Kluyveromyces lactis: one gene and its partner. The protein of the gene in region 2 interacts with the protein of the main gene of each other region in a pairwise test. Links are inferred from orthologs where the notes say so. Each region holds a gene or a part of one and is shown on either strand. Other genes may lie near its edges. The genes, in order: MSH4 and MSH5.

Region 1 (4,570 bases), on a different chromosome or scaffold from region 2:
AAGGTATTAGTAATGTGTGTATTGTTTTGTTGTGGTTGCATTGAAACAGCCTAAGAAGAATGTGGCCTGCTTGCAACAGGATGGCATGAAAGTGGAATTATGAGTAATACCATGGTGAAGCCGGTTGTTACCCGAGTATGGTTGGACAGGAAATCGGAAACACCAGAAACGTGACTCCGTGGCCAAGCTGGTTAAGGCGTGCGACTGTTAATCGCAAGATCGAGAGTTCAATCCTCTCCGGGGTCGTTTTCTTTTTTGATTTTTTTTTCACTCTGCTCCACCATGAAAAGGAAGGTAAGTTAATTATATTCTTTATCCATACTATATACCGGATATTCATCTATTAATCAGCTTCATAAGGTGAACCTCCCACATATCGTCGTATATCTGGTCATACAAACCTACTAGGGTATACTACCTCAGTAATTACTACTTGAACCTCTTTTTTAGTGTTTTTTTTGGTTCGATTTTTATAGATCCAGCTTTCGTTTCGCGGTGCCATATTGCCCATCCCTATGTCTGCTGAAATACCGAAGGCTATTAAAAAGTTAGCCAAATACCTCCAGGATAATCCTGATGTGAAAGTTATATTCATGGTTGGGGCTGGAATATCAACTTCTAGTGGAATTCCCGATTTCAGATCTCCAGAAACAGGGCTTTACCATAACTTATCAAAACTGAATCTTCCTTATGCTGAAGCTGTATTCGATATAGAATACTTCGAACAGAATCCCAAACCGTTTTATACTCTTGCAAAGGAGTTGTATCCTGGTAATTTCAAGCCGTCTCCGTTCCATTATTTGATGAAACTATTCGAGAGCAAAAACCGGTTAAAAAGAATATATACCCAGAATATAGATACTTTGGAAAGAGAAGCAAATATCAGCGATGAATTCATTATAGAAGCACACGGATCATTTGCGTCAAACCATTGCATTGACTGTGGTAAAGAATTCCCAAAGGAAGCTTTTCAAAATAAATTACTATTAAACGAACAAGAAACCGATGAGGACGGCGGAAATTATGCTACTTGTGATGGATGTGGCGGGTTGATTAAACCGAAGATTGTATTCTTCGGTGAAGGGTTACCTACCGAGTTCTTCGATACGTGGGATTTGGATAGCTCTACGAAGGAAAAAACAGTTTGTATTGTCTGTGGTACGTCCTTAACTGTGTACCCGTTTGCATCGTTACCCATGGAGGCACCGAATTCGTGGCTTAGGGTGCTACTGAACCGTGAGATAGTTGGTGATTTCAAGACCTCACGCCAAGATACTGATCTGATATTCAAGGGCTCTGCAGATTATGCAGCCTTTTTGCTTGCCCAAGAGTTGTGCTGGCTCGAAGATTTGGAAAACCTCAGCGGCAAACAATTTAAGCCGGAATCGAAAACGAAAACAAAGGTTCATATAAATAAACCTGAACCTGAACAACAGGAGAAGATCAACACGAAAGAGGAAGAGGTATTGAAAGAGGTCACGGAGGAAATAGCACTTGAGCTAAATAATCTAACCATTAAAGAATGAACAACACAGCGACAACATCTGGTAATGTTACATCTTTCGCAAAGTGGGCTTTTGAATCGTCTTCGGTCGAAGGCACTTCTTCCGTCGGAACCACTACATCGGATAATCAATCTCAAAATAATTCAAGGGTTAGCAGGCACTCAACATCTAAGAAACGTAAAGTCGATAGGCAGCCAACTATTTTTGAATTATCAAATCATCAGCAGGAAAGGGATTGTTCTTTGCCAATCAGAAAATCAATGCAAACTAGGCAATCCAAATCTGAGTCAAGGTATACGTCAAGAAATAAAAAGATTACTACAACTACCTCTGGACTTGTTGTAGGGCCTGACAGGACAATATTTAGCATATTCGAGTCTGGGAAAAATGCAGATACACGAGTTGGAATTTGCGTGGTAAATTATTCAACTGCGGAAATGCACGTTTCAGAATTCATTGATACTCAAGTCTTTATTAAAACTTTAAACAAAATATACGTCTGTCAACCCACTGAAATCCTCATTCCATCGCATTCATTGTCGGGAAAAGTTTCAAAGTTGTCGACTATAGTCAAATGCAATATTTCCGACAATGTAAAGATATGCGAGGCGGCCACGAAAGTTTACAATCCTCAAGAGGGATTAGAAGTTCTTGAAAAGTTCGCCTTACTTGGTACAAACAAGTCTCCTGTACCTTTCGCGGAACAATTAATCGGTAAAGAGTTTTGTCTTATGGCAGTATCTGCGGCTAGCAACTACATGACACAAATAGCTGAAGCTGATTTAGCTTTAAAGTTTAGCAACTTCAGAGTTAGAATTGATAATGGTGACAATACCATGTTGATTGATATGAAAACAGTTCAATCTTTAGAATTAATAGAAAACACTCTAGAATCAAATGGAATGACACTATTAAAAGTAATTGACAAAACAGTGACTAAAATGGGACATAGAGCGCTTAGGAATGATATACTTCAACCTTTAACTGATATTAATTCGTTAAAGCTTAGAGTTTCTGCTGTACAGGAACTACAGAACAACCCAGATTTTTTAAATTCCTTTAGGATGGAGCTAAAAGTTCTTCATGACCTGGATGCTCTTTTCTCTAAACTTCTCTCGTTCAATCACACCGTCATTCTTCCTGATCAAAAGCTCAATTATGTCATATTGTTGAAAGAATCCATTGAGAGTGCAACAACGCTTAAGAGACTTTTCGAAGAAAGCAAATTTGAAAGCAAATTGTTGTCAGAAATCATGGCAATATTTAGTTCAGATGATATTAGCAGCATCTTTGATTTGATCAATCGATATCTCAATGAAGATACACGTTGGGCTTCTACACCTATCGATCTACAAAACCAGAAAGCGTACGCTATTAAGAGAGGTTCAAACGGTCTTCTTGACGTGCTCAGGCAATTGTATAAATCTTTAACAGATGATATTATGAGAGAAGTGGACTCCCTCAGAGATAAATTTGGATTGAATTTCAGCCATGGACATGATGTTAATCGGCAGTTTTACTTGAAACTAAAAAAGAAAGACATTAACCAGCTCTCTGATTTAGACTCCTGCTTTATCAATCGTGTTACGAAGAAAACTGCGTATGAATTTACCACATTGAACTTAATGAAAATGAATACAAGGCTCTCTGAGCTTACTTGTGAGATGATAGCTTTGAGTGAACAAACCGTGAGTGAACTTTTATCCAATATTTCTTCTCATATCGCAACACTTTTTATGATATCTGAGGCTATATCAGTTCTAGACCTTTTGTGTTCTCTTGCAACAACGGGTTTAGAGAATAACTGGATTTTAGCATCGTTTGGTAATCATTTATCACTTAGTGGAGCTCGCCATCCAATTTTAGAAAATACACTAACCAACTTTGTAGCGAATGATGTAGAGGCAATACCCAATCTCTCTTCGTTTCAGATAGTAACAGGTTGTAACATGAGCGGAAAATCAATATACTTGAAACAAGTTGCTATGCTTACAATTTTGGCGCAGATAGGATGCCCTGTGCCCTGTACTTCTGCATCTTTCCCCCTATATCAGAAGCTTCATGCCCGTGTCTGTAATGATGACATAGAGGCGTATTCATCCACTTTCTCAGCAGAAATGAAAGACATGGCATATTTCATTGATGATATAACAGATAAGACTCTTATGATCCTAGATGAATTAGGACGTGGCTCAAGCATCGCAGATGGGTTCTCTATAGCTTTGGCTATATCGGAATATCTCCTTTCCAAAAATGCTACTGTATTTCTATCGACACATTTCAGAGATATTCCTAAAATATTGGCACCAAAGCCTCGTGTTTTACATCTTGAGATGAAAACTGAGATTGATCAGGAATCACATCTCAAAATGAAATATAAAGCCTCCACAGAATCAGAAGAGATAGAAGGATACGGTATGATGATTTGTAAACGAATTTTCAGTGAAAGAATTATGTTGGAAGCATACAAAATATCGGAATTACTTCGAGCTAGCAAAAGAAAAGGTTTGAAAATCATTGCAAAGGAAGATTCTTGTGATAATGCATGTCAAACTACCCAAATCAAACAGGTTTATTATTTAGTACAAAAACTCAAAGCGTTTTGTAATCATGAAAAAACAATTGACATTGAAGAGTTGCGAAGTCTACAAGATGATTTCATTTCAACGTTTGAAATAGTCTGAAACAAGTGGTAAGAATAGCAAATTTTAGTATTCGTCAACGAAAAGAGTTTAATTCTATTTACTTAATATTAAATGACCTATGTAATTTCTCATGTTTGCTGCATCTTTAGAATCAAAGCTCAAAGTGTAATCCTTGCTCATATAAAGTGTATTCAGACAAACATATATGCCGCAGTCAAATCCGTTTGGCTGCTGTGGACAAGCAATATGGCAAAGTTCGAAATCCTCACCAAGCTTTTGTTTGCTTTCTTCCATCACATAAGACTGGAGATTTTTCATAATTAGGAAACTGACCGAATTCATTCCAGAAGAAAGAGAATCAAGATAATAAATTTTGTGTTGCTTCATTTCTATTATACCCAATGTCCAATGAGAATCATT
Region 2 (4,476 bases):
CTACTTTTCTTCTGAATTCATATTTAGTTACTAAGGAAGGGATATTCATCCAGGAATTGAATACTTGGCTTTGAATAAAGATTTGTGCTTATTGTGTTCTTTTTTTAATTGTTCTTCAGTCCGCGTCTTTGATTGATGATGCAAATGCAGCAAAGGGTAGCACTTGGTGATGTTACTTCACAGATTAACAATAGGGCCAATCGGTTTAGTGTTGACGGTGACAGCAAGAAAGCGTTTGTTGATGCTGGATTCTTGAAGGAGAAAAGGGTAAAGAATGCGAAGGAGAATGATTTGTTTAGTGGTCATGACGATGATTTAGTAGTAGCACGGGCTCAAAAACTACGAGAACAGACTCTTGTTTCTTCTGTGAGTACTGAGAGTATACGGTCGCAACAATTGTCTAGCAATAGTAACGAAACAGTACAACACCATTTGATTGAGGTTGAAGCAGATGATGAGGATGATGCGGAGACTGATAGTGAGGCACTAGCTTTTAAAGAAGATGAAGAAGCAGAAACAGGCGGAGATATAAGTGAGGAAATGGAAGACGTAGATGAAAGTTTTACGCCGTTAGTGCCGGTGGTAACGGAACATTCAGAGAGGTTATATCAATATGTGTATGAGAGGTTACACCGTGAGGAGCCTGACCCTAACGATGAGGACACATGGGACCCTGTTATGGTATCGGAATATACCATTGAAATTTTTGAACATTTGAAGTTTTTGGAGAGGAAATTTTCGCCGAATCCCAGGTATATCGAACATCAACCGGAACTAACGTGGAAATACAGATCAACGTTGATCGATTGGATTGTTCAAGTCCACGATAGGTTCCAGTTGTTACCTGAGACGTTATTTTTAACGGTAAACATTATCGATAGGTTTTTATCAAAGAAACAAGTCACTTTGAACAGGTTGCAATTAGTCGGTGCAGCAGCTCTATTCATTGCTTCCAAATACGAGGAGATCAACTGTCCAACTTTGAAAGATATGCTGTATATGCTGGACAATGCATACACTAGAGAAGAGATTCTAAGGGCAGAAAGATTCATGATCAATACGTTAAATTTCGAATTTGGATGGCCAGGTCCAATGTCATTTTTAAGAAGAGTTAGTAAAGCGGATGATTATGAATACGATACAAGAACCGTGGCTAAATATTTATTGGAAACTTCCATAATGGAGCCAGAAATAATAGCAGCGCCACCATCTTGGCTTGCTGCAGGTGCATATTACTTGAGTAAAATCATTATCGGACTCACAGGTTGGTCTGACGAACACATATATTATTCCGGTTACACAGAAGAGCAATTAATACCGTTGGCAACAATGATTTTGGATTCATGCAGACATGCAACAGAACGTCACAAAGCAATATTCGATAAGTACTCGAGGAGTCGCCATAGGAAATCTGCTTTTGTAGTAGCGAAGTGGATTTCAATGGCCGAGAGTCGGTTGGAACAGAAATAAATTCGACAAAAAGAGAGCGGCTAATCATTACTCATACGCCTTCCCGACACATCTAGATAGTACTTAACTCAAAGAAAGCAAAGAAAAAGTGTCAATTCACTTCTTTATCTAATGTTATATTTCGTTTAAATTTCATTTCCAGCACAAATTTACTTTAAAAGTGAAAAGAATGAGATTATTCAGTTTTACTTTCAAAACTAAACTGCACTGTTTATTGACAGAGCGAAGAAAACGAAGGGAAGAAACGGTACAGGCAATTATTCAAGACCAATCACCATCAACAATGCCAGTCACGGCTAAACGTCCGTTATTTATTGATCGGTCGGTCGATTCTGAACTAATTCCAGGTATTGGGAATATACAGGATAGCAATGCTACCGAAATACCCGCCGAAGGTGAAAACAGAAATGTATTGGAAAAATATGCAGATGAAACCATGCATGAGCAAAGCATTAATTGGGAAAATGAAGTAGTATTCTGCTTGGAACTACAGCAGTCCAAGCTTGGAATATCTCTATTGGACATAAATCAAGAGACTTTATCGGTTCTAAATCAGGACATTATTGTTAATGCCAGAAGTTCAGAAAATATGAATGAAGTGAACTTGATTCTAGAAAATTTGATACTTGAAAATGAACCTAGCGTAGTGTTGTGTTCAAGCAGGTTAGGGGAAGTGATTTATGAAAACCTCAAATTTTTGTCAATCGAGCGCAGTTTTAGATTGCAGATGCAGTCCCATGACAAATTTAAAGTAGAATATTTTGTTCAACATTGGAACAACTTTCAAGAGTCCCAACAATTGATAGATATTCAAGGATTTCAGATCTTGGACCAATTGGGTACAAACAAAGCCGCTAAAGTGACAACCATGTCATTGAGCTGCTTGATAAAATCTATGGATCATTTCTCCGCCGTTGATTTTGACGAATGTGAGATGTTTAATTTTTTCGAAAAGGTCAATATAGTGAGACAATTAATGTTGAAGGATCGGCTCTTTCTTGATGATGATACTCTGGCGGCTTTACATATTTTTAAACCCATCCAGATACCAGGACATTTTTGTGAAATAACAAAAACCGGCTATTCATCTGTGTTTGATTTGCTCAATCACACTACTTCAGAACTTGGTAAAAGATTGCTAAAATCCTGGTTAGCCAGTCCACTATCTAATAAAATATTAATAGAAGAGAGACAAAAGGTGATACGATCTCTAATTGACGGCAAGAATGCGATATTATTCGACGATCTTTCAAATTCTCTAAAGTACATGCCTAATATATTCAGCATTGTAAATGAAATGAGCAAAGGCGCAGTAAAACTCTCAGTGTGGAGAAAATATATTTCTTTCTGTACCAAAACTGTCGAGATCATAAACTTAATCCATATTCTCTACGATTCTTCAGATAATTGCCGGTTATTTAACACCATAAAAAATGACCTTGATAAAAGCATGATGTTGAAGATATTAAAGAAAACCGAAAGTGTTCTTGATTTGGAGGGGTCCCTTAACCAAGATGCGATTGTTATAAAGGATAAAGTTCGTATAGAACTAGATGAGGCAAGAGGAACTTACTTCGAGCTTGAAGGTGTTTTAAATCTTGTGGCAAATGAGGCAAACAATACACTAATATCAACATTGCAGAGTAATGAGGAGAAGCTTTTTAAAAAATTGAACGGACGAAATGCTTTGATAAATGCGATATATCTACCACAACTTGGTTATTTACTATGTGTTGATGCATCCATAGAAGATATGTTCGATCCAGCTGTGCTATACTGGACTGAAATTTTCAGAGAACAGAATGTAATATATTACAAGAATGATGATACGAAAGTTATGGACGAACACTATGGTGACCTTCATGGAATAATATCCGATTTAGAGTTGGAGATCCTACTTGAACTACAAAATGCAGTCTTGAATACAAAGCCAGCAATTTTGCTGTCAGGAAAATGTTTCGCAGAGCTCGAGGTTTTAGTCTCATTTGCTAAGACCGCCATTAGCCAAAATTATGTCCAGCCTGTCATTGAGGAAAAGGAATGTGTAATTGAAATTGAAAACGGCCGGCACCCCTTATATGAAACACTTGTAGACACATACATCCCCAATGACCTTCGCATGCTTGGCGGAACTTTTGATAATGATACTTGGAATAATAATTTCAAAAGAATTTCTGTCATTACTGGCGCTAATGCGTCTGGTAAATCTGTTTTTTTAACGCAGAACGGACTTATAGTGTTTCTTGCTCATATTGGTTGTTTCGTTCCTGCTGATAATGCACGTATTGGTCTCGTGGACAAAATATTGACCAGAGTAGTGACTCGGGAATCTGTAGCAAAGACGCAGAGTACATTTGAGATTGATGCAAATCAAATGTCCAAGTGTTTGTCATTGGCAACGCCGAGAAGCTTACTTTTGATTGATGAGTTTGGTAAAGGGACAGATGTGATTGACGGCCTATCTATGTTCGGAGCAATTATAAAGGACTTTTCAAGGAGCTCGTCTTGCCCTAGAGTGATCGCATCTACTCATTATAACGAAGTTTTCAGTCCAAACATCCTTACTAGTGAAATTAATGGTGTAGTATTCTATAAAACCGAGATTTTATTGCAGGTGATGGAAAAGGAAAATAAAGGAAATGCCAGAGATGAAATGATTACCTTTTTGTACAAATTGAGCACCGGAATTGCCACGAACTCTTTTGGTATATTCTGTGCCAAAAACTGTGGCTTAAGGCAGAGCATTGTCCAAAGAGCACAAGAACTTACAACTCAGATAGCAGATGGATTTGACATTGCTAAGAACTACAGCAAACTAACTATCGAAGAATTGAACCAATTTAGAATTGACCAGGATATTGCGAAAGAGTTTGTAGCATGGGATCTTGATCTTGAGTCCATCCATTCTGACAAGATACAGCATGCAATACGGAGAAAACTACAAAGAATATTGGATGCTGGACAAAGCTGCTAATTCGTGAGTACTCAGAAAGCAAAATATTACAC

Evidence for each region.
Region 1: the proteins of MSH5 (region 2) and MSH4 interact in a two-hybrid assay, tested with the Saccharomyces cerevisiae proteins (2 studies listed by BioGRID). The link is inferred for Kluyveromyces lactis from reciprocal best matches to the Saccharomyces cerevisiae genes MSH5 and MSH4.

The regions. Positions count from the first base shown.
Region 1 is NC_006042.1:1,015,833-1,020,402, reverse strand, and holds MSH4 (MutS family protein MSH4), read left to right. Parts: upstream 1-1,522; coding exon 1,523-4,189; downstream 4,190-4,570. Other genes in the region: histone deacetylase HST2, read left to right, coding at 516-1,526; SUMO protease ULP1, read right to left, coding at 4,244-4,570. UniProt on the Saccharomyces cerevisiae protein: Involved in meiotic recombination. Facilitate crossovers between homologs during meiosis.
Region 2 is NC_006039.1:1,436,969-1,441,444, reverse strand, and holds MSH5 (MutS family protein MSH5), read left to right. Parts: upstream 1-1,639; coding exon 1,640-4,444; downstream 4,445-4,476. Other genes in the region: KLLA0_C16445g (cyclin family protein), read left to right, coding at 136-1,470. UniProt on the Saccharomyces cerevisiae protein: Involved in meiotic recombination. Facilitate crossovers between homologs during meiosis.